3 linked regions of the Schizosaccharomyces pombe genome follow. Changing the gene in region 3 together with the main gene of any one other region gives a genetic interaction. Each region holds a gene or a part of one and is shown on either strand. Other genes may lie near its edges. The genes, in order: get2, clr1 and gmh6.

Evidence for each region.
Region 1: mutations in gmh6 (region 3) and get2 together harm fitness more than expected from each alone (negative genetic interaction), as found in Schizosaccharomyces pombe (one large-scale study listed by BioGRID).
Region 2: mutations in gmh6 (region 3) and clr1 together harm fitness more than expected from each alone (negative genetic interaction), as found in Schizosaccharomyces pombe (one large-scale study listed by BioGRID).

What each region holds. Positions count from the first base shown.
Region 1 is NC_003421.2:183,361-194,671, forward strand, and holds get2 (GET complex subunit Get2), read left to right. Parts: upstream 1-5,753; 5' UTR 5,754-5,898; coding exon 5,899-6,423; intron 6,424-6,483; coding exon 6,484-6,732; 3' UTR 6,733-7,041; downstream 7,042-11,311. Other genes in the region: protein Fft2, read right to left, coding at 1-3,517; vacuolar H+-ATPase assembly protein Vma21, read left to right, coding at 4,740-4,789, 4,963-5,054, 5,108-5,232; kinetochore protein fta7, read left to right, coding at 7,370-7,485, 7,663-7,819, 7,878-8,042, 8,166-8,462; protein pdh1, read right to left, coding at 9,086-9,766; Set3 complex subunit Hif2, read left to right, coding at 11,192-11,243.
Region 2 is NC_003423.3:2,995,091-3,003,719, forward strand, and holds clr1 (SHREC complex intermodule linker subunit Clr1), read left to right. Parts: upstream 1-2,000; 5' UTR 2,001-2,147; coding exon 2,148-5,864; 3' UTR 5,865-6,046; downstream 6,047-8,629. Other genes in the region: peptidyl-tRNA hydrolase Pth1, read right to left, coding at 234-407, 444-489, 529-833, 881-976; protein mhf1, read left to right, coding at 1,362-1,373, 1,419-1,597, 1,648-1,789; ABC1 kinase family ubiquinone biosynthesis ATPase Coq8, read left to right, coding at 6,271-8,103; ribosome biogenesis protein Alb1, read right to left, coding at 8,296-8,447, 8,528-8,579. UniProt on the Schizosaccharomyces pombe protein: Regulates silencing of the mat2 and mat3 loci. Organizes the chromatin structure of the mating-type region where it also participates in establishing the 'cold spot' for recombination.
Region 3 is NC_003423.3:4,407,616-4,411,215, reverse strand, and holds the start of gmh6 (alpha-1,2-galactosyltransferase), read left to right. Parts: upstream 1-1,509; 5' UTR 1,510-2,027; coding exon 2,028-3,155; 3' UTR 3,156-3,600.

The sequences.
Region 1 (11,311 bases), on a different chromosome or scaffold from region 3:
GAAGTTCCTTATTATCACCCTCTACAGTCTCACTCTTCATCTCAGTTTTTATGTTAGCCTTTTCGTCCCCGTCAGCCAAGTCAGTTTTCTCCACAGAGTTCGGTTGAGAACCCTCTAAGGGAACTCCTGTATTAGTCTCCTCCGCATCCGTTTGTTTGGAATTATTACTGCTGCTGACCTTGAACTCTCCATCACTCTCGTTTCCCGTAATTTCAGGTTTTGTATTGTTGCCATTATTTTCTTCGTCAAGCATGTCTTGCACAAGACGTTCGCCAATTTCTTCTCTATCCTTACCATCAGAGCTTAAGCTCATGTCAAGCGCAAGTTTGGTGTTCGCTAATTTTTGAATATATTCTTCAATCGTATTATCGGTGATTAACCGAATTACCGTTACCTCACGGACTTGTCCAACACGATGAGCACGGTCTTCAGCCTGCAAATCATCGAATGGATTATAAGAGCAGTCATACAATATCACCACATTTGCACACGCTAAATTAATTCCAAAACCGCCAGCTTTTGTTGAAAGAAGGAATACAGTAACATCTTCCTCTTTGTGAAATTGATCTATAATATCCTGACGTACTTCAACTTGTGTTGAACCATCCAATCGAACATATGATATTTTCAAAGTATCCAGCACCTGTTCCAAAATATCGAGCATCTGAGTAAACTGACTAAACAAAAGGATCCTGCTTCCTTCTTCTTTCATTTTAGGAAGTAATTCTTTCAACACTCGAATTTTACCTGAATCCATCCAGGGATCATCCTTCAACGTATATGACTGCAGCGTAGGGAAACTGCGGCAAAGTCGATGCAATTCAAAGTCAGACATAACTTCCATATCTTCATATATATATTGTTCATTGGCATTTTTATATTGTTCCTCTTGCATTATATCCTTAGCCATTTGCTTTAACTTCTCATCGTCATAAAATTTGCGAAAAAGTAAGGCATGATTTGCAGCTTTGCGAAGCTGCATGAGAACATGACCGGCCGATAATGACTTGCCATCGCTTTCTTCATCGTTCTTACTACGCTTGTTTCGTTTATCGTCTCTCCGAAGTTGTTGATTTTTTTGCAAAGCAGCATATCGATTGTAAATTTCCAACTGGTTTTCTGATAACTTACAATGTTCAATAATCTGAGTCTTTTTTGGCAAATCATTAAGAACTTGGTTTTTCCGACGGCGAAGGACAAACGGAGTCATCATAGTCTTGGCACGGCTAATACGTTGCTTAGAAAGTAAGGCTTGTTCTATATCCGCATCTGCGGTTGGTTTAGCTTTAAAAATTACATCCAAATCGTCCATGTCACTGTCAAACATATTAGGAAGAATGAAAGCGAGCAAGGAAACTAATTCTTTGAGATTGTTTTGTAAAGGAGTACCAGTCAGCAGCAGTCTAAAGTTAGCGTTAAGGTTCATGAGATGTTTGTAACGCTCCGACATTCTATTTTTCAAATAATGACCTTCGTCGTAAACGCAGACATCAAAGTTTTGATGTTTAAGAAAAGATCGGTCCTCTTTGTTGTTCGTAGCTAACTGATAAGTAGTAACCAAAATGTCATACTTTATTTCGTTTTCTTCTATTGCTTCGCGAATATTTGCTCGCTCTTGTTGACTTCCGTAGTAAGGTTCCACGCGGAGGCTAGGGCAAAACCGGGCAAGTTCCCTAAGCCAATTTTCAAGCGTTGAAGAAGGGACTACAACTAAATGAGGTCCGTGGTGTCCTTGTTCCAGAAGAAGTGCAAAAAAGGCGACTACTTGGCAAGTTTTTCCAAGACCCATCTCATCAGCCAAAATCCCTGACAGTTTCTGTTGATAAAGCAAATGTAACCAATTAACGCCAACGAGTTGATAACTTTTAAGCTGGACGTCACTTGCAAGAGTTTTGGGTTGCTCTGTAACAAATTTAGGGAAATCACTGTTATCCGCTGCCTCGGTAGGAACCGACTCCATGTCAACGATGTTCAGTTCACCATTAGACATTTCTAATTTAATTCCCCACGAGGCCATACCTTTAGATATACGATTACCAAGAAACTCGCATTTGGCAATTAGATTATCAATTGCATAATATCCTTCCATGGTTTCCATACAAGCATTGACGATTTTTTGGCCCATAGGATTTTTTTCACGACGCCTTCCACGTCTACCAGGTTTGCTAGGAACGTCATCAGGATGTTTGATGATACAAGCTTCGGCAAGTGTCTGGAAAGGACGATGCTCTAAAAGGAGTTTCGAGTGGGACAAAGGGCAACTAGCAGTATCAGAGAGTTCCTTAGCAGTACTGCTGTTTATAAAATTGAGTACAGTTCTCTCTAACGCCGATGTATCCCTGTGAACTATGGCTTCAGGCTCTTCTTCTGAGTCATAAAATTCATCTTCTTCAGTAGTAAGTTTCTTTGATGCATTGCTAGTTTTTCTGGTATAAGAAGGCATAAGGGAAGCTTGCGTAGAATCATTTGGCATTTGTATATATTTGTCCCGAATCGAGCGCTTTTGGGATTGAACCGTACGGTTAGAGCTTCCATAAGTAGGCATATTGCTAGCAACGGGACTTTGCTTAAACCTTTTATGCTCTTGTATTGGAATACCAAGGTCACAACTCAAATATTTTTGAGATAAAATAGAAAGTGCTGCAGTCTCATCCCACTTAGTTTGAGCAAGTGTGTTGATCACCTGGTGAATCGGAGCCTGGGGAACAAATGAGCGTATCCATTGAACAGAACGAATAATAGCATTAGGAGAAGTAGTGGTTACAGGAGGAAGCTCGACAGGTGGAGCGGGAGGTGTAAGCAAGGTATTGTTGACTGGTGGGGTAGTCACGGGATTTGCGGAGGAGGAACGAGATCGCTGAGTAGAGCGTGGAGCAGAACGCGCTGTGGAGCGTGCAGATGAGCGCGAGTTTGAACGAACGTAGCTGGGTAAAACATTATTGACGGGTTGTGCTGGAGGCTGCGCGGGTATTGCCGATGTAGGATTGACAGCACCGATAGGATAGCCGTTATTATAAGGGGAACTATAATGTGCATTATAACCACCCTGAGGTATTGGAACAGTGCCTGGATAACCAGATGGCATACCAGGCATTGCTGCGGGAATTCCAGCATTGGGCAAAGACGCAGTATTGTAAGAGGGCAGGGGGTTATAAGAAGGGACTGGCTGCGATGATTGTCCCACGTATGAATAACCAAAATTGTTGTTGATTGCAGCGGGAGCATCTCTGGAATAAGCATTGGACATTGGAGTCGACGCATACGAAGAAGTTTGCGAATAATCAGTATTCATAAATTGAGTGTTCTCAGAAGTATTATACATTCCACCACCCATGGAATTATTCACCCCGTACATAGCGGAAGACTGTTGGACAGGGGGCGTACCATAGCTTTGAGGATTTCCGTATGAAGAAGGCAAACCTGTTTGCGAAGAACCATAAACTTCCGATTGAGGATTTTCGTCGGAAAACTTTCGTTTCCCGTTGTCCGATAAGTAATTTGAATTGTAAGGAAGCATCTAATTTAAAATCACATTAAGTCTTCTGTATTTATATATCAAATATCAGAAGTAGCACGTTTGGTTCGTGTTTGGGGCGTGCCTGACTCTTACGGGAGTACGCAGAAAAAAAATAATGGACTCTTTAAATCTGGATATGTCTTAAGTTAATTAAAAAAATTTACTGGATTTTAACGGTAATTATCGCAATGCCGTATATACTTTAACCTGTCAGGAATAGTACACTACGCTATGCTACACTACGTTGCGTATCACTATATGTCATATGTTGGAATACTAGCTAAGATCCGTTTATTGATAATCACGGGTAACTATCCGTCTATATACATAGATACCCGTTGATAACAACTATTTAGAAATATTATAAATAGCGTTACAACTGAACCTCGTTCCTCAGTTCAGTTATGAGCTATATTAGTGATAGGTAACATTATAACCCAGTTAATACAATACCTATACTCAGTTGCTACTTATACAACCTGTGTATTGTAATATAATAGACCACAAGGAAAACTCACCGCAGTTCTACGTATCCTTAAATCAGATACCAAACTGCGTAGCTTACATAACCTAGGCTTGATCTTATCGTTATATTAAATGCTTTTTATTACCTCAAAAATCTACTTCAACAGTTTGATTTCAAGCTAAAATGGTAAATTTTAATGCATAAAATATACCCATTGAGTAATCTATTTGCTCTTTTTTTTATACCGCTCGTCCGCTGATGAAAACGTCAACATAGCAATGCTTGTATCAAGTGAAGATGGATGGTGTGAAATCACTTGTTATAACAGAGGAGTAATTGAGTATTGCTTTTTTGATCACCACTGTTTGATACACCCTTGCCTGCTAAACAATTCAATGTGAGTTTGTAAATTGCAGTTTTATTTATGATCATCGACCAAGCCCTAACATACATTTGTTACTCGATTTAATTTAATTAATTTAATATTTCAACAAGGAACTATGAATTTGGAGACTTTGTCGCCCAGGTATTTTATTATATGTAAACACAAATTAAGCAGGTCGCACGTATAAGTCTACCGTATGTTATAAACAAAGATAATAAATTTTAATAAGATGACAAATAATTTCAGGGACTTTCAACATACGAATATCAATTGTCTACTTTTCATGTTGACAAAACTTTGACCTCTTATAAAGCAAGGTCCCAATAAATTAGGTCTCCACCACCATCAACAACTTGCATTCGTGATTTAAAATGGAAAGGAAATCCCAAGTTTCAGATACAAATAATAACTCTATACCTACGTAAGTTTATTAATTATTAGTTTATTTCTTTACGCCGGACTGCGAATTGGTTTTAAGAAATTCCATACAACCTTCCACAACAGTCTATAATCTTAGGTCTCTTATATTGTTTATTCCTTTTATATTCTTAACTAAATATGTTGGAAATGAAAACTTACTAACTTTCGTAATAGTAATGTTCTGCTTAAGTTTGTGGGTTTTAGTGTCGCATTATTTACATTACCACTTATAACTTATTTTTGGACGTTGAAGACTTTATTCAAAGGTATATACTAATTGTTGAATAATTTTGATTTTTACTGATAAATTTTGTTTTAGGATATCAAACATTGTACGCAGGATTATCTGCAGCTGTAATGGTCAATATTATCTTGGCCTTGTATATAGTCGCAGCCTTTCGCGAAGACTCCGGGACTCCCAAGAAGGATATAAAAAGGGAATAATAAATTTTCAGTAACCATTTTACTACTATTTTGAGTTATGACTTTTGCATTTCAATTCTAAATCAAATTTTGAAGCGGATTTTCCTTCTGCCAACGTATTTAGGTGAATCATTCGATGTCTTTATTTTTTTTCGTTAAAAGTATCGCAAAATGAAAGACTTTAGCTGGGACTATCCTATAATCTACTGGATTTTGCATGTATGTCTATTGAATAAGGTGCTACCACAAAGCTGTTGCTGGTGATACTACTCCTTTTTGTATCTGAATTAATGAACGGAAATTTTTTTGTTTAATTTTTCGCTAGTCTGTAATGAAAATATGTGTCTGTTCTTTAGTTTTTTGTAGTTTCCCAAAAAACACGAATTAGCAAAATGCAATTGATATGGCAATTTCAACCAATTTTATAATTAAATTTTCCTTTTTATAATATAAGGCTAACATGTATGATTCTTATCAAACATAACAGCTGTAGGAATTCAGTATTCTTCTAACACTTATGCATCACTATTTTCTCTCACCCCAAACCCCTCGTATATTGGAAAGTTGTTCAAGTGAGCATTATTGATTTTTTCCCAATATAATATTGATAAAAATATATATCTGTAAAAAAGTTTGGTGTTAATTATTTATTTTATTCTGTTTTCTGCTGATTCAAAGACTTCGAACATGTCGACTGCCAGTGAACAAGCTCGACTTAGACGTGAACGTCGACTGAATAAAATCAAACAAGGAGGTGCATCTAGAATCAATCAAATTTTGGGACAGAATTCAGATGACAGTCAATCCGATGTTCGAGCTACAGCTTCCGAGGAAGCTGTACATTCTGAAACTGCAACACCAGTAACGCCAATGTCTTCAGGATTCATGGAAAAGAGAGATGATACCTTCAATGCTGATCAAGTGGAATATCTTCCTTCCCAAGATTACCATAATTTGGAAAGTTCGCCTTTTAAACTTCAGTGTGATTCTCCATATAATGTACCACCTGAAAACATGTTTAATCAAAACCCTGATTTTGCAAATTTTTTTCAAGCTATGTTACAATCCGCAAAGGAGGGATCTGATACAAATTTTCAAGGTGAAAACGAACAAATTCCTCAAGCTACAGCTCCTTTAAAAAACTTAGTTGAGAAATATGCTCATCTTTTGGCAATTTCTATAGTAGTGATTGTTTGTTATTTTAAACATTTGGTAAGTCCTCATCTTCCTTTTTTGAAATTGTTTTTTTGCATACTAATATATTTATTTCAGCCATTACTTCCGTGGACATTTACTGTCGAAGCTTGCTTGTTCTCTATTCAATTTGTTTTGGACCGTAATAATGGACCTTCTTATTCTCTTCTAGCATCTCTGGCCTCTCAGCTTCCCCCTCCCTATGGAGCAATGATCCGTCATACAACAAGTTATGTTCCGTATTTCACACAATTGATTACAGATGCGTGTATGACAATATTTGCGTTAGGTTTATGTTGCTATTTTTATCCGTCGTTGGTGTATTAATAGTTGTTAATTTTCAGCATTTACTATTTATGAATCTTGGTTTTGCTTCGCAAATTGGTGATCGATTAATTAGCATTCAATTTTTGTTTAGATGAAATAAACTAACTGATTAAGCGAGAAAGACTTTTCAAACCCTTAGGAATTCAATTTTATATTATCTTTTCAACATCTAAACGATTTATATTCTAAAACATACTGCACTTCATTTGAACTGCTTTGCAACACATGCCATATTTACGATTGTCGGTACGTTTTATTTATTTTCTCTTTTAATTCAATGGTAGCAATAGTATATGATTTAAAAAGCTCTGTTTATTGTAATTGTAGTATTAATTAAAAACAGACTACTTAAAGTAATTTCTGGGATAGCTGTGAAAACATTATAACTATGATTTTTAAAATCTTTTATCAACTTATTATTGAAATAAAATAAGTAATTGAGAATTGGCTTGGTTGACTGTATATATGTAAAACAACTTCGTCCGAAGCGCTACAACAGCATGCAAACGTTGAAACGGCGAATTCTTGTTATAGAGAAATTTTTCATATAAAACCATACGTACATATTTTGCTATTTAAGTTCCAGATTGCTTAAAAGAAAATTGAAGTGGTAGCACCATTTTTATAAATATATGCAATGGAAATGAAAAGGCGCGTTCGCGCGGTGCGTCGAGACCAAATTCAAAAAAGATGGCGTCCATTAGAGGATAAGCAGCGCCAAGAAATAATAATTATTTTTAGGACGTGTTCAAGGTAAGTAATTGAGAATCATGTTATTGCTAAAAGTGCTTGTGCTTTTTAGCGCTTACTTGTGTACTGAAAGGGAAATCAAAGTTTGCTGTTGATGTTTACCTGGAAAAGTCTTTTAAGTACTTTTCCAAATTTTTTTAGTCATTATGTGTACGTATGCTAACTGTGCTATCGTAACAGATTGGTTTTGAATACAATAAAATCAGAAACAAGAAAATCTTTGGCCGAGGAATGGTTCATGAATATACTTTTAAAAATCGAAGCTCCTCTGAGAAATTTGCCTGTACCAAGGAAAAGAAAAGAGTCAATACTGTTCTCTCAATTACTTTCTTCGAATGTAAGTTATTAAGTCTTGATACGCATACATACGAAAGAGATATGACTAACATTTTTAGATGCAATTGGAACAGCAATTATACAGTGATTTGGACCATATTAACGTACTTCAACAGGAATTGAAGGTTGAAACTGCTCGTTTGGAGAATGAACAGAAATCTTACGAAGAAATGAAACAAAACATGGCCATAAATAATTCACGGCTTGCCGATTTAAAATCTAAAGTAAGTTTAAAACACGAACAGGCGAATGTTTTATTCAAGACTTCATCTTAACATATGACACAAAATGAGTTTTCCATTGTTTCAGTTATGTAAATAATCAAGCAATCACTAATATTTTCTTAGCTTCACCCTTATTTGAAGAAAGGCTTAAAGATATCCCATGATAATTTTTCAGACTCCAACGATTTCTCGTTCCAAAAGAAACTGAATACAGAAGATTCTAATACTTCTAAAACCTCTACATTGGATATGTATAAAGAAAAATTAAAGCCATTTACGAAAACTATGCAAATCCATGCAAATAAAACTGTTCAATTAAGTCAAACTATACAAAAAGCTACTCTTCTTTTACAACGACTAAACAATACAAAAAATATAGGCCTAAATAAGTCATCCAAACTTAAGATAAAGAATATCTAGACATAGAAAAGCTAGAGCTTAAGACTTGATGACTTCTACATGTTAACATATAGTCCCTGGCCCCGAACCATGACCAACCCAAAAACTGGATTAAATCGTCCTTTAATATAAGCACTCAGACTAATTGTCCCGTCTTCATTGAATTCTCACAAATAGTGTGACGACAAGCCAACTTAATGGAGTGCTTGGTAGATTCCAGCAGCTACGGACTTAATTCAATTAAAGGACTTTTTGCTAGAGTTTAGGGTAGGGTAAGCATAAAATTATAGTAGCATTATAGTATCGATTTTGAAAGTAATTTCTTTTGCTTTATTTAATCATTAAAAGATGCCGTAAAGGATTTTGTGCCTTGCGGAATTGTCAAGAATTGTAGTATTACTCGTAAACGGTCGTGATTGTTATTTAACAGTAGTAACTGCCAAAAAAGACTTAGTTTTTTATTTTTAATAAAAGCCTTCAATATTATTTAATAAATAGACGCAAAATCATAAGCAAACTGATTTTAAATTCATTTGCGCATGCAGTCAATAATTATAAAAGCAAAGCAATACACGGGTCTTAGATAGCTAGTCAAAACAATAGCAATGCGTAAAAAAGTATTGATTTTGATTAAAACGGAAAGTTCATATAGGAAGCTGAGTATGACTTTCTAAATGGAAAAGTTCTTGAACCACAGGATGAACAAACAACACATATAGCTCAGAGATGCAAGTGCCTGAGACAGCTAAGCAGAAATAAGTCCATGGAAAACTTTGAAAAACATAAAATAAGTGAATTGAAAGGAACAAATAAATAAGGTATTTTGACAATGGACAGAGAAATTTGTTTGAAGATTCTTCCTTTTTACACGAATACAATTGGTACCAAGCAGTTAAGATCCCTGCTTGAATTGCGGTCGTACTTTGGATAATTGCGACCAACAAGTAATGTGAATCTGTAATTTTGTATGCAATAAAGCAAGGTATCAAGACAGCAATGTTTGGAATCACTGTTAAAAACTGACAGAAAAGCAAGTACTCCTTATGACCCCATGAACGTTCAATTTCAACGCCATACACCGAGAGAATGAGAATACTTGAAAGTAGCGTAAAAACATTAGCATCAACAAAACTTGTGGTAATTATTGTCCATGGAAACAAGAACAAAGCATTTGGAACCAAATGAAAACATAAAAGAAAGAAAGTTACAATAGAACTCCTACCAAACACTTTGATGTAGATGCTGATTCCAAATGATATTGCAGAAAACAATACCTCTAGGATAAGAAGCCTTTTCGTAACCGAAAACTTGGAGAAATGATTCATTGATAAATTTTAGGTAAAAAAAAATAGTAAAGTTCTCGTTACCGTAAAAATCATCGACGTCAACAATTTTGGTCTCAAAGTAAACAATACCAGGATACCTCTAAGTAAATGGTGCAATCCGAAATAAAATTTCTAGCTGTTTGCATCTAAAAAATAGAAACTCTTACGAAAACTGAATTGGCCAAAGATCGCTTCACTGGAATATAAGCATAATAAGAAATTGCCTATATGGATTAATACAGTTAGTAAATTAGAAAATGAGAAGTTGAGATAAGACACTGCACCTGGTTTTTTAATGCCTTCTCAATAATCTCATTTACAGGGACATTCGGTAGCGGGTAAGATGATAGGTAGGTCATGGCTCGACCAGATTATAAACATCCAGAAAATTACATAACTTTGTAGCTTGCCGATTCTAATAGAAGATAGAAAAGAAGTTTAAACTCGCTGATATATTTGTTTGAGCACAACCTGGTTTATCAAGTAACTATGATCGGTTCGGTTGAGGAGATAAACGCATTCAAAGTTAGAGTAAATAGTAAAGGGAGAAATTAATTTTTATTATATTTGGCAGTTTTTTGAGGGAAACCCTGATGAGAAATTGCTGCATATCGCTCTGCTGGGTTAAAACAAAGTGTTGATTCTCTTAATCGAATAATGTCTTAAATTATTAGTCATAATTCAAATCATCTTTTCCTTTCTTAGAATATAGTGAATGCATTGTTTAGAGCGGTCTTATATCAGAAAGAAGCATTCGCTTGACCTTGAAACATTTGTAATAGAAAATCACATTTCCTTAGCATGATAAGCGGACCCTGAATGTTCAAATTATTCAAATAAAATAGCAGTATATTTTAGAAATAAAAAAACCAAATAAGGCTCCTACCACTCTTGTATGGAATGTTGAGTACAGAAATAGCATACGAATTCATGAAAGTCAGAAAATACAATCTGGCTGCCAACTCCTTAACACAAACTTCTAAAAGTGAATTTTGATTGAAATTAAAAGTCGAAGAGAACTATTAGCATTGCCGTTTTAAGTTGTTAAGAGACCGACTTCAAAGAGGGAAAACTTTACTGAAATTCCTCGGATACAAAAAGTGGGCACTCGATTATTTTTATTTTGATCAAGCGCTGTTTAAATAGTAACCTACGTGCAAATAATAGAGCAGGAAGATTTAATCCACAGTTTCAGCCATCGCACGTATCTAGTTAAATTTCGGTAACTAATACTTCCACAACTACTAAAAACCGTCTCAATGGGAATTCGTCGACAATCCTTCAAGTTAAATCCGTATTGACAGGAAAAGAAAGAAAATAGAAGACTGTTGAGGTTTTAAGTGAAACTCGTTGACAGACCTTAAGATTTGACTTTAATTTACGTGGGTAGCTTGAACCATTATAGATTTAGAAATTGTGGAGGAAATGGATACGAATCAAGTTAATTATATAATCTGGAGATATTTGAAAGAATGCGGTATGTTAAATAGTTGGTTTTTGTGAATCATAGTCGCTTCATCTCTCCTTTTTTTCGGTTTCGTTAAC
Region 2 (8,629 bases), 1.4 Mb from region 3:
TAATCTCTGTTTGTTCTCATGAATTGTTGTATCTTAGATTTATTTATCTATCAATTTTATATAGCAATAAAAAAGGTATTGATCTTTTAATCCAATATTGCCTTGAAAATATGATGGACTGTGGGTTTTGATAATTTATTTAAACGGAATGAACAATGTAGCTTCATAGTTCTTATAATCAACAATCAATTTTACAAGGAACAACCCGCAATGAGTTAAGCTTAACTTAGTCCCTATGTTTCAATTGAAAGTTGTAATTGTTGAAGAATGTTGCAAAACTTATGGAATATATCAGTTTCAATTAGTTTCATTTCATTAGAGTTGAATTTACTCAAAACATAATCTGAAACGTCCTCCCTATTCCTTGACTCACAACGTCCAATTCCCAATCCAATCCTGTAAAAACTCTTTGAATTAGTAATGAAATTAAATGTGTACCTTACTTCTTTTCCTAGGAATTCTTGACAAGAGCGAATCCCATTGTGTCCCCTAGCAATGTTAATAAGTATTGCTTTGGATATTACTTACCTGTGAGAGCCTCCGGGCAAACGAAGCTTGACTTTGCCTAAATCTAACTCCAATTCGTCATGCACAACTACATATACGATTTTGTCTAATGGCGAAACTTTGCGCACAAAATCATTAGATATCTTTTTCAACTGTTTCCCGGAATCATTCATGTATGAGGTGGACAAAACCAAGGTGAGATTTTCTTTGGTACTAGGCCAATTTTTTGGAAATGCCATGCTGTCAGCGTACATACTCACCATTAATTTCCCCAGTGAGTGTCTCGATTTGACGAACGCTGATCCTGGATTTCCTAAACCATAGATCTTTCGGATTAGTATCCCATTTTGGAAAGACTTTTACGGATCATAACAATTTTTATAGAAACTCTTCTTTTAAGGTCGCAATGGTTAACTTCTGCTTTGTTTTTCCTGGCAATTAAAATCTTAGGAAGATGTTTTATTGCCATACGGAACTTTGGTACTTATTTTAAAAAAAATTTTTTTTGATTGAAAAAAAGCTTTAGCATCCTCAACAGAATTTTCAACTTACCAAGAATTGTGTTTGCACCATGGACTTTTTTCTGAGAAAATTTTTATTTAGGCACAAGGTTTTATTAAGATTAATAAATACTTTCCAACTGATTGGTTTTGGCCTACTCTTTGGTATTTAGCACGGTTAGCTCCCCACGAAAATAATATTTTAGTTTAGATTAATAAAACAATGTTTCAAACTACGAAGAAACTTGGAAACCACCTATTTCATGTTTTAGCCATTTAATTATAAGGAGACTACTTATCTTAACTTTTAGTAACGTATTATTACGAAAATTAATAAAAAGTAATCAAAGTTATATGATGGAGGAGGTAATAATGCATTTTAATATAGGTATTGGCTAACTGGTATTCTAGGAGAGATTCAAAGCAGAGATTTTTCACGTTACACAAGAAGTTTGTAATCGTACAGCTTCTGAATTAACTGAATCAGAGTCAAGAAATGTCATTGTAGATGAGCTTTTTTGTGTTGGAGTTACCGAAATGGTTTGGGAACAAATACGTGTATTAGCTAAAGACATTGAGGCTTTTGCAGAGTACGCTCTTGATGGAAATAAATATTTTAATCTTATTAACAAAATAATAGACATGCAGGACGGAAAACGGTTCAACCACAGGATGTGCTTTTATGTTGTCGAAGAAATGAAGGATTATATGAGATTATCAATAATTTTCACAAAGAATCGATCAAATCTAAAAAGAAAAAGAAAGAAAACAGTACAACATAATGCACATCCATTGTGGGTACAGTGATTATAGCTCATTTTCAACGCTGTGTTATCGTTAATAACTTTCTATTACATAGATTGACCATTGTCAAGACTTATTATTAGTTCTTTTTTATTTAATGTTATTCTTTGTTGTAACAAATTTCCCCGTTTTTTGATATCTTAGTGTGCATCCCCGGCTATTCTTTCCTTCCCGTCGTAGTTCACTTCATCAATAGCAGCAGCACCACAATAAATAGTGCGAACAGTAATTCGAAGGGCTGGTCCCAAGGAATTCCACCTTTTGGAATTTAATTAATGGTAATAAATACTTTTTGTCACATTTAAAGACACAACTGCATGCAATTCGTTGTTAGATATGGCGGAACCTGATATCAGTTCTTCAGAGACATTGACAGAATTGCAACAACTCAGACTCCTATATTTTTTCTGCTTTTATCATGCTGCTCCATTCAATGTGAAAACTCTGGTTCATTCACTTATTCCACCTGGCGCTTTATCATATTTATTGTCGACGTATGATATTTTGCGTCCATGGTTGATGGCTTTACGAGTCAGGGAGGGTCCAGTCAACGATATATCTACAATTGTTCAATTGTATGAGGAAATTGTAAAAACTGGGTTCTTCATTAATCCCCCTCCATTCGAATCGTACTCACAGACATTAGTAGCTCGGATAACTACTTTGGGTCGCCCAAAGCTACAGGTGCAACAGGAAGCTCAATCTGAAGTTTATCAACGGGCTTCAACAAATACACAACAACAAGTCTCCAATGTATCTCATGGTAATTTCAAACCCAATTCTTCGGTAAATACAGAACCTAACACTTCAATTTTATCAAATTCTAAATATGCTGGTATTAAACCATTCGACTTTCAGAGTTCATCACAAAATCCTGGATTGGTTTGCGAACAAAAAACATTTTATCAGCATCAATTTCGTCCTTTTTCTAATCTCCCATCTAATAAGTCTAGCCCGGTTAAACACGTATCTCCAAATGTCAAAAATAATTCAAAGAAAACTGCTTCCTCAGTCAACTCTAATCATTCTTCTATTCCGTCTTCTATAACTAAGTCCAATATATCTTCTTTAGATGTGTATGGTTCAGAAAAGCTTATTTCCTCGGGAAGCCAACAGCCAGGGCATGGTATGGTGCAAACAACTTCCGATAAAGTTAACGCGTCAGCATCTCTTTATGACCGCTCACCTTCAAAAAAAGATATCACAAGTTCCCGTAATACGTCTTCTTATAATCTTGGAAGTATGCGAAACCCTTCAACCTTAAAAAATGCAGCTCATGCAAACCCTTTTGAAGGACTGCGTTTCCAAGGCTCTTCAGCAGTGCTTAAAGAGGGGCTTAACTCTACTGTTAAGAAAACATTTTTTGATAATTTAAACTCTGAAAAGGTGTGTCCATCTGTTTCTCCGTTTTTAACACCTGATAATATTGCATCCTCAATCCTATACTCTACAGCGTCTTTCTCTCGATCAAAACCTGATAGACCGAGACTTAATTTATCATTGGAGCTAAAGCTAATGCAAAACGAACTAAATAAAGGTCAATTGAAAAAACAATTCAAAGGCGATTTGCGTAACCTGGCCGATTGGAATAATCTTTCGTTAGTGTCCTCGAAGTTCCCTTCATTGCCAATTACTAACCTGCGACCGGATGGCTCTTTTTTGAAACATAGGCGGTTTAATGAAGAGATTGCTTACAACCGCCAAACTCTTGAAAAAGCTATAAAACAGCTAGACTTATCTCCTGATAAAGTCATTCAACTTCGTGAACAAAATGGTGTTGCAGTTAACGGACGTGTATGCTATCCTACGAGAAATAAACACTCGGAAATCTCTGCTCAATCAAGCTCTTCGTTAGGAGTTACTAAATCTCTGGCGTCGGAAGTGTATTCCTCTTCAACTGTCGACACCATTAGTAAACTTAATACTGATAAGGATAATTATTTGATTAAAAGCAAAAAGGAACCAATACAACAAAAATCTGTTAGCTCGGAAACTACTTTGGTGAAACCGTCATCAACTTCTTCCTACATTGACACAACTAACAATGTCTTGAAAACGAATTCTAGTTTTAAGTCGTCTGGTTTGACAAGTGGGCCTAGAAATGAAAAGGAATTATTGCCTGAGGGAATTCCGACATCTCATAATAATTCTGAAACTCAAGCTCAAACAGCTGACGTATCAAACATAGCAGCTTCCGCCGATGGAATATATAATTCTGATCAGGAAAAACCTCCTGAGAAGCTGGACGTTACAAAGAGAGCTTTTGGACGTGAAATAGAAAATTCGAATGAAAAAGAATTATTGACTAGCACATTTTTAAGTCCTTCTGCAGAATCTCAGGTTTGTCTTGCAGAAATAAAAACCATACGTCCGGGATTGGTTCCTAAAAAGCAGTTTTCTGTGGATCAAAATAATGTAATAAGTGACAATACGGACTGTTCGCTTCCTAAACCATCTAACTCTAAGCTCTCCAGTATTAGTAGCGATGGGGATGCTTCTAGCAATCGAATGGCTGTACCCGATAAGTCTCCTTTTGTTCATGCTGCACCAAATTCTAAAGCATTGACGAAGGATAGTTTTTCTACTCACATTAGCGTTTCATCTCTTCTTCATAGTGACAACGAGATTTCTCCTATCGATTCAACTCGTAAAGATTACTTTACTTCAAAGGACAGCAATCTTCAGACTCTTAAAGAAGATGCGTCTTCAACAAAACAGGCTAAAGATTCTGGTACTAATGATTTTGACAAACTGATATCTGGCAATGATGTATCTAAAAACAATTCTGGCGAAGAACAAAGCAGAAGCGCATTGAAGCCACTAATTTCTGGGAAACTATCAAGTTGTGAGTCGATCAACTTAACCAAGGATATTTCAACTGTTAAGCGCAAAGAGTATTTTGGAATTGAATCGACGTCCTCAAAACAACCTTTCCATGATACTGGTTCAATTAAAATCCCAGCAAAAAGATCTTTTGATACCATTGATAAAGATTTTAGAAGTTCTAATATTCCATTTGCCGACAAAATTAAAGAGGACGGTGGAGATAAAAATGTGATTTCCTCAATTCATATTACAACTGAGCTTCCTAAATCAATGCCCGTTGAAGTACCTACTAATGCTGGTGCTCAAAGCGATCAAAGCAATGTCGTTGACTCCGAGTCTTTGAATTTGCGTGAGAATATTTCTACGAGCGTTGCTGACGTGAGCCTTAGTCAAGCAGGGAACGAAGCAGTGCTTAGTAAAAAGGCTTGTAAACCGCTTGTGTTAATTGACCCCTTTGAGGAGAAAGTACTTAAAGCCTTTAACATGTTGAGTAAAGGTTATGCTGAATACCGTTGTCAATGGGAGGGTTGTTTAGCCAATCTTCATTCGTTGGAAAATTTTATAAAACACGTTTTATTGTTACATCATCCGAAAAGTTGTTCTGTGGTTAAATGCCTATGGGCTTCGTGTGATATGGTTTTGCCATCAGAAGAGTTTGAAATGCATTTGCGCGGCCATTTGAACAACATCCGGCTTAATTGTGAAGTTTCTAACTGTAAAAAGTGCTTTTCTAATTATGAAGATATGTTCAAACATTTGCAGCATTCACATTTACCTTTCAAGTTCACACCAGAGTCTTTCATTAAAATTCGAAATGGCAATGTCAAAGAAGAAGCACGTCGTACAAGAAATGCTTACACACAGAAGTCTGGTGAAGTAGAATGTTTTATGGAAACTTGTACACCGATAGCTAAACCTGCTCCTGCGAATTGGTATCCGGTTCCTCCACCTGGTTTTAACTCATCTTTACTTTCCAGACTAACCCAAAGCAATCAGTCTAAAGATAAAATTATAGCTGCTTTAGCTAAGAGGAATGTTTATAAATCATTTGCGGGTTTGTACGATAGTAAAGGTAAAAATGATAATACTGGGTACGATTTTGATTCAAATTATGCCCGGGTTGGTCGTCATGGTTCTTTTATTTTACCTGTCAGCAAAAGTGTCCCTACTCCATCCTTGCTAATCGAAGGGTCTATTGTGCAACGTAAAAATATAAAAATAGAATGATCCGTCTTTGTACGTTACAAGCGTGATCTCAACAATTATTTTCTTAATTATGGTTTAATCCAACTGGCGTGAATCTCTCTGAACAAACATCTTATGTCTTTTATTTATATAGTTATTGTATGTAAAGTAAATATAAAAAATTATTGATTGTCCTTAATTTACTGTACACGCGTCCCTTCAAGTACATACATATGGTTCGATTGCTTAACTGAAGTAACCGCCGCTAGGAACCATCATAAACTTTTATCATTTTTGGATTCATAAAACCATTATAACAGTGGCTAGTTAATGAAAATAATCAAATGTCTGGTTTTTGAAATAAATAAATTCACTTGAAAGCCCTTCCATTCGAAATTGAAGCACTTTTTATTCCAAGGCTTATTTTTCTCTTATTTAATCAGAACAAATGGCTAATTCAGGGCTTTGGGAACTTATAACAATAGGATCCGCAGTTCGAAATGTTGCCAAATCATATTTAAAGGCTGAAGCTTCGTCAATTACAGCAAAACAACTGTATGATGCATCGAAAATAACCAGTTCGAAAAGGTCCACAAGTGACCTGCACGTTCAATTATTGGAGAAATACAGAAACGGTAAAGTCAAACATGCTTCCCAAATAAAAGAATTGGGGTTATCTTCTAAAGATACGAAACGAACGCTTTTGGGAAATTCTTTAGATGTTCAGAAAGATGCCTCCGGTGTCAAACATTTGCAGGAGCAATCTTCTAAAGAAATAAAAAATCCTATTTCGCAACCGATTTTACCAAATAAAAAAGATGAAATAAGTCCTGCTAAACCTTCAGCGATTGATTCTAGTATTAAAGACGTAACAAAATCACACCCTGCAACGAATGCCAATTTTACAGCAGACTTTGAATCCTCTATTGAAGAAAGCTACTCTACTGAGAATAAGTCTCCGGTTATACTTTCCTCTTCTAAAGTTCCTTCGTCCCAATGGAGTCGTCTATGGCATTACGGAGGCCTTGCAACTTCCTTGTCGGTTGGGGCTATAGGGGAGAAAATGAAGAGGATGTGGGGAATCAGCAAAGACGATGGAGCTTTGTTACTGAATGAAAGAAATGTAGAGATTTTGGTGAACAAACTGACTCAAATGCGTGGTGCTGCTTTAAAAATGGGTCAAATGCTTTCATTCCAGGATAGTAAGCTGATTGACCCACGTGTTTCTCAAATTTTGGAGCGTGTACGTGATGGAGCACATTCCATGCCAGAAAAGCAACTAGAGCAAGTTATGGTTAAAAACCTTGGAAAGAATTGGATGACTCACTATTCAGAATTTGACAGAAAGCCAATGGCGGCAGCTTCAATTGGACAAGTTCATCGAGCTCGTTTAGCATCTAATCACATGGAAGTTGTGGTGAAAGTTCAATATCCTGGGGTGATGTCTTCCATTGACTCGGATTTGAATAACCTAGCTTATTTGTTGAAAGCTTCTAGAATACTTCCTAAAGGATTGTTTTTAGAAAACAGTTTAGCAGCCGCAAGGAAAGAACTGAAATGGGAATGCGATTATGAAAGAGAGGCCGCTTTTGCTGAAAGGTTTGGATCGTTGCTCAAAAATGATTCTGATTTTAAAGTCCCAATGGTATTTCGAGAAGCATCTGGACCCAGCGTAATTACATTAGAGTACTTACATGGTATTGCTTTGGGAAAACAAAAATATTCACAAGCTACAAGGAACCATATAGGATATCTGCTGACGAAACAATGTCTAAGAGAGATATCTGAATACCATTTTATGCAAACCGACCCTAATTGGTCTAACTTCTTATATAACGGAAAAACAAAAAAAATTGAATTACTAGATTTTGGAGCATCAATTGAATATGATGAAAAGTTCATCAAGAAATATTGCCGACTTTTACTAGCGGCGGCTCATCGTAACCGAGAAAAGTGCAAAAAATTATCTGTTGAACTAGGATACTTAAATAATCATGAGTCTGCTCAAATGATAGATGCGCATATAAATTCAATTTTCACTCTTGCGGAGCCATTTGCATTTGATGCACCTGACGTCTACGACTTTGGCGATCAAACGATCACTGCGAGGGTTAAGCAGCAGATTCCTGTTATGCTTGATTTAAGACTTCAACCTCCTCCAGAAGAAACTTATTCATTACACCGTAGACTAAGCGGGCATTTCCTTTTGTGTGCCAAGCTTGGCGCCAAGGTGAGATGTAAGGAATTGTTTTCTGGAATGTTGAAACATTACGCTGATTAAATGTTTTTATATGAAAAAGCCATAGTACCATAGCAACTTGATGACTTAATACAATGATACAAATTTTTTTTTTCCAAAATAGATAACACATTGGTTGAAACCCTATATGTGTGGACCGTATATTTAAAACATATTGTATTAATATTATTATCAATCAACCCTAAAGACCCATAAAGCTTAATAAAAATAAGCTTATAATGCTGGAGGAGCACCCAAAATTGTTCCTTTACATGTTGGCTCAATGTTCATGAAATCCTTTTGTTTCCCGGCTTCGGTTTTTCCAAATAGATTTTCATTCAAAGACTTATCTTTGGAAATGTTTTTCTTGCTGGCATTATCAATCTCTATGTCCGTTTGTTAGATACATAATTGACGGTGGAAATGAAGCTTTCCTGTAAAACACACTATTAAAAAAATTTCTTACCCATTGCAATATCATCTAAATGGATCCCCTTTTCAGCAAGACGTTTCAGCGACTAAATTATTGGTTAGGTATTTCTTTAAAATGCTTAAAGGTGATTTAATC
Region 3 (3,600 bases):
ACAACATACTCAACATCAGGTTATGATGAAGTTGTCGTTTGCTTAGCGAATTTTTGCTTGAGGTATACAATTTACTCAGTCCCTTCATTGGCTTTATCAACATGCCATAAATTAGTTTAAAAAATAATTTATCGTCATTACAATATCGGTATATTAGAATATAATTATATACTTTTACTATGAAATAATATTCTGTCTTATTCTCTTAAACAAAATTGCTTTGAAAATAAAAAAAATGATTGGCTGTTTAAAAATACTTCAACCGTAATATTGTATTATTGTAAACGAATATGTAGTGGTATAGCAATCGAATCTGGGGCCTTTCTATTGGTTAAGTAATTGAATAATTTTAACGGCCGATCCGTGAATCTTTATACCATAACAATTTTTTAGCTAAAGACACGGAATCGAAACATCGCTAGGTGATGAGTTAGTAAAGAATAAATATGGCTGCAATATTAAGCATGGAGAAGGACAACAACTCCATATTTCTTTGATTTGCTAGTTAAAATCTAAATTGCTATTGGTAAAGTACACAAAAATACAGTTATTGCTGGGCAAATTTTAACGTTATCATGAAATAAAAAATCAGTTCTAGAAAATAGTTACGACTTTCTTCGAAGCTGCAAACTTAAATTCCAAGAATACTTTGAATAGTCTCTGTAAGGTCTGAAGCGAATTCCAAAATGCTATCATTTGCTTTTCTGAGTACAATTATCGCATATATATTAAAAATTTAAGGTGTAGTGCATCCAAAAAAAAAAGAACGATTCCAACAGATATATTAAAGAATCTTAATTTATTGATACTTACATTCCGATTGTGCAAACTAAAGGTTAGACTAATATTCTTCTCAAAAAATTATACAACAATAAAAAGTGAAACCGATAAATTGAAAGCGACGCTTTGCATTTTAATTTAAAAATCCAAGCACTTCAGAAAAATGTTTGCCAATGCAGCAGAAGAAAAAGCATCAAAATTGAAGTATAACGAGGTTTTACAACGTTTAGAATCTCGTTAATCACAAACGTTTGATATATCGAGAATTCTTCTTGCTTCATTACGATATTTATTAAGTTAGCGATGCATTTTGGTATCTGTTTTAACGATAGTACTGCAGTGAGTTTTCCTTGTGATCTATTATATTGCAATAAGAAGATAATATAAGTACCATAAGTATAGGTATTCTGTTAAGTAGGTTATATAGTTACCTGTCACTAATACTGCTTATAACTAAATCTCGCTCCTCAGTTCATGTAGCTCTATTTAATAATCTTTCTAAAATATTTTAACAATGGGAATCCATGTGTATAAAGATAGTTATATATAATTATTGATAAACATATCTTAACTGATAATCCAACATATGGCATATAGTGATACTGTAACGTAGCGCATATTACGTAGTGTAGTTATGCTAATATATTATAAGGAATAGTGAGTCATAGCGTATATACTTATTTGAAATGTACTAAATTTCAACGCGTACATGCTTTCCTTCCCTTCATTATAACTACATCAAAAGTTTTAGTAGCTTTCCTCTAAAGCACTTAACTGAATGGTAACACGAGAATCGGTCGAAAGTTTATTTTATTTTTTATAGGTCACTCTCTATAAAACCTTGTATCTCCACTTTACCGCTACGTTCATTATATTTGACATACACTCTTTCAGGACACTTGGTGATTATTGCTTTGGGTAAATAGGGTATATTTTTTGGTGTTAGTAAACGATAAGATTAAAAAGGTACTTTAAATTGTCTCGCCTGCTATTGTGAGCATGTGTGTGCTGTGAAGTGCCTACGAACATCTACCTCTCACATTCTGAACTTATCTAACATCTTAGTTTAGGCTAAGTATTTTATAAGAAATCTTAGCTTTTATTGCATCAATTTTTAAAGAAGGATATTTACACCGCTCTTTCTTTTCTTCGCTATCATTTTTATTATCATTGGTATTTTTTCATTACTTTGAACATATTTATTTATCCAAGGATTGGTCAATTCTAATTTCTCTTACATACTTACAATGCGTTGGTATTCTTATGTTATACCAGCAGTGATCCTCAGCATAATTGCTATTTCTGGAGTATGGTGGAATGCTACCCTTGGTACTAGGCTCGACCAGAAAGTACAACTTTTCTTAAATGAACATTCTTCAATTTTGAATGCAGTTTACGAAACAACTACTATCGTTTACACAGAGCCATTACACACCAGTGTCAGCGAAACGATTACATCTACGTCTTTTGTTACAGAAACTACGACAGTAACCCCAACGGTTACTGCCACAGCTCAAGAGTTAAGCACACTTAATCCTCATCCTGAAAATTCTAAGATAGTCCTTTTGATGGGTTCCAATGCCCAAAATGACCCTTCCTCACCCTTAAATCCTTATATTAGAACGATTATTAAAAATCGCCGCGACTATGCAGAACGTCATGGTTTTAAGTTTGAATTTTTAGATTTAGATGAGTACAAACCTTCAATTGGCGACAAGCCTGCCCCTTGGGCTAAAATTCCCATGATTAAAAATGTGATTAGAAAATATCCAGATGCTGAATGGGTATGGTGGTTGGATCACGATGCTTTAATTATGAATCGTGATTTGAATCTGGTTGATCACATTTTGAAGCATGAAAAGCTAAATTCTCTTTTATTGCGCGACACCGAATATTTTAGTGGATTTGGCATTGACTCTGAAGGATTCCGAACACCTAAAAATCAAGACCCTGATGATATACATTTTATCATTGCTCAAGATTTTAATGGCATTAATGCTGGCAGTTTTTTAATAAGGAATTCTGAAGTAGGAACATGGATGCTGGATTTTTGGAATGAACCACTTTATAAAGAACATAATGGTGTATTTGTCGAACAACAAGCCCTTTCTCATATGATATATAGTCATCCCATTGTGCATAAACATGTTGGGCTAGTTACTCTTCGTTCAATAAACGCATATGATTCTTCTGATCCTGCTTGGGGATATGAAGACGGTGATTTATGTGTTCATTTTGCTGGGTGCTTTGTCTTTCAGACATGTGCACAAAATTTTGAAAAGTATGGCAAGATTATCACAGAAAAGCAAGGCCATGATTGGTTCGATCCATCCGAAAAGGAATATATTGAACAACGCCTTTTCCCTCAACCTTAATCAATACCTTGTTATTCTTGCTATAGTGCTTTATATTTATTCTATTATTAATCTATGCAATGATCAGTGCTATATAACTCTAATTGTAAATATAATATTTACTCTATTCATCTGTACGATCGGTTGGTGTTATTATATTACTGGTTATTATTTATTTAAATTAATGCATACAATTGACCTAGCATGATCATGGTTCCCAGCTTTCACTATGACTTAACCTTGCATTTACGATACAGTCGGATAATTCAGTCTTAATCTTCTTGCGACGCTTATGTTCACTAAATTAATAAGCACTCCTAATTGATTAATTAAAGAGTTTGATTCATTTTATATCCAAAAGGATGTTCAATAAGCAATTACTGGCTAATCGAGGACAATTTCATCAGTCGTGAAATTTCAAAATTCATTTTTGAATCTTTGTCCAAGATCAACTTGTTTTGAATGT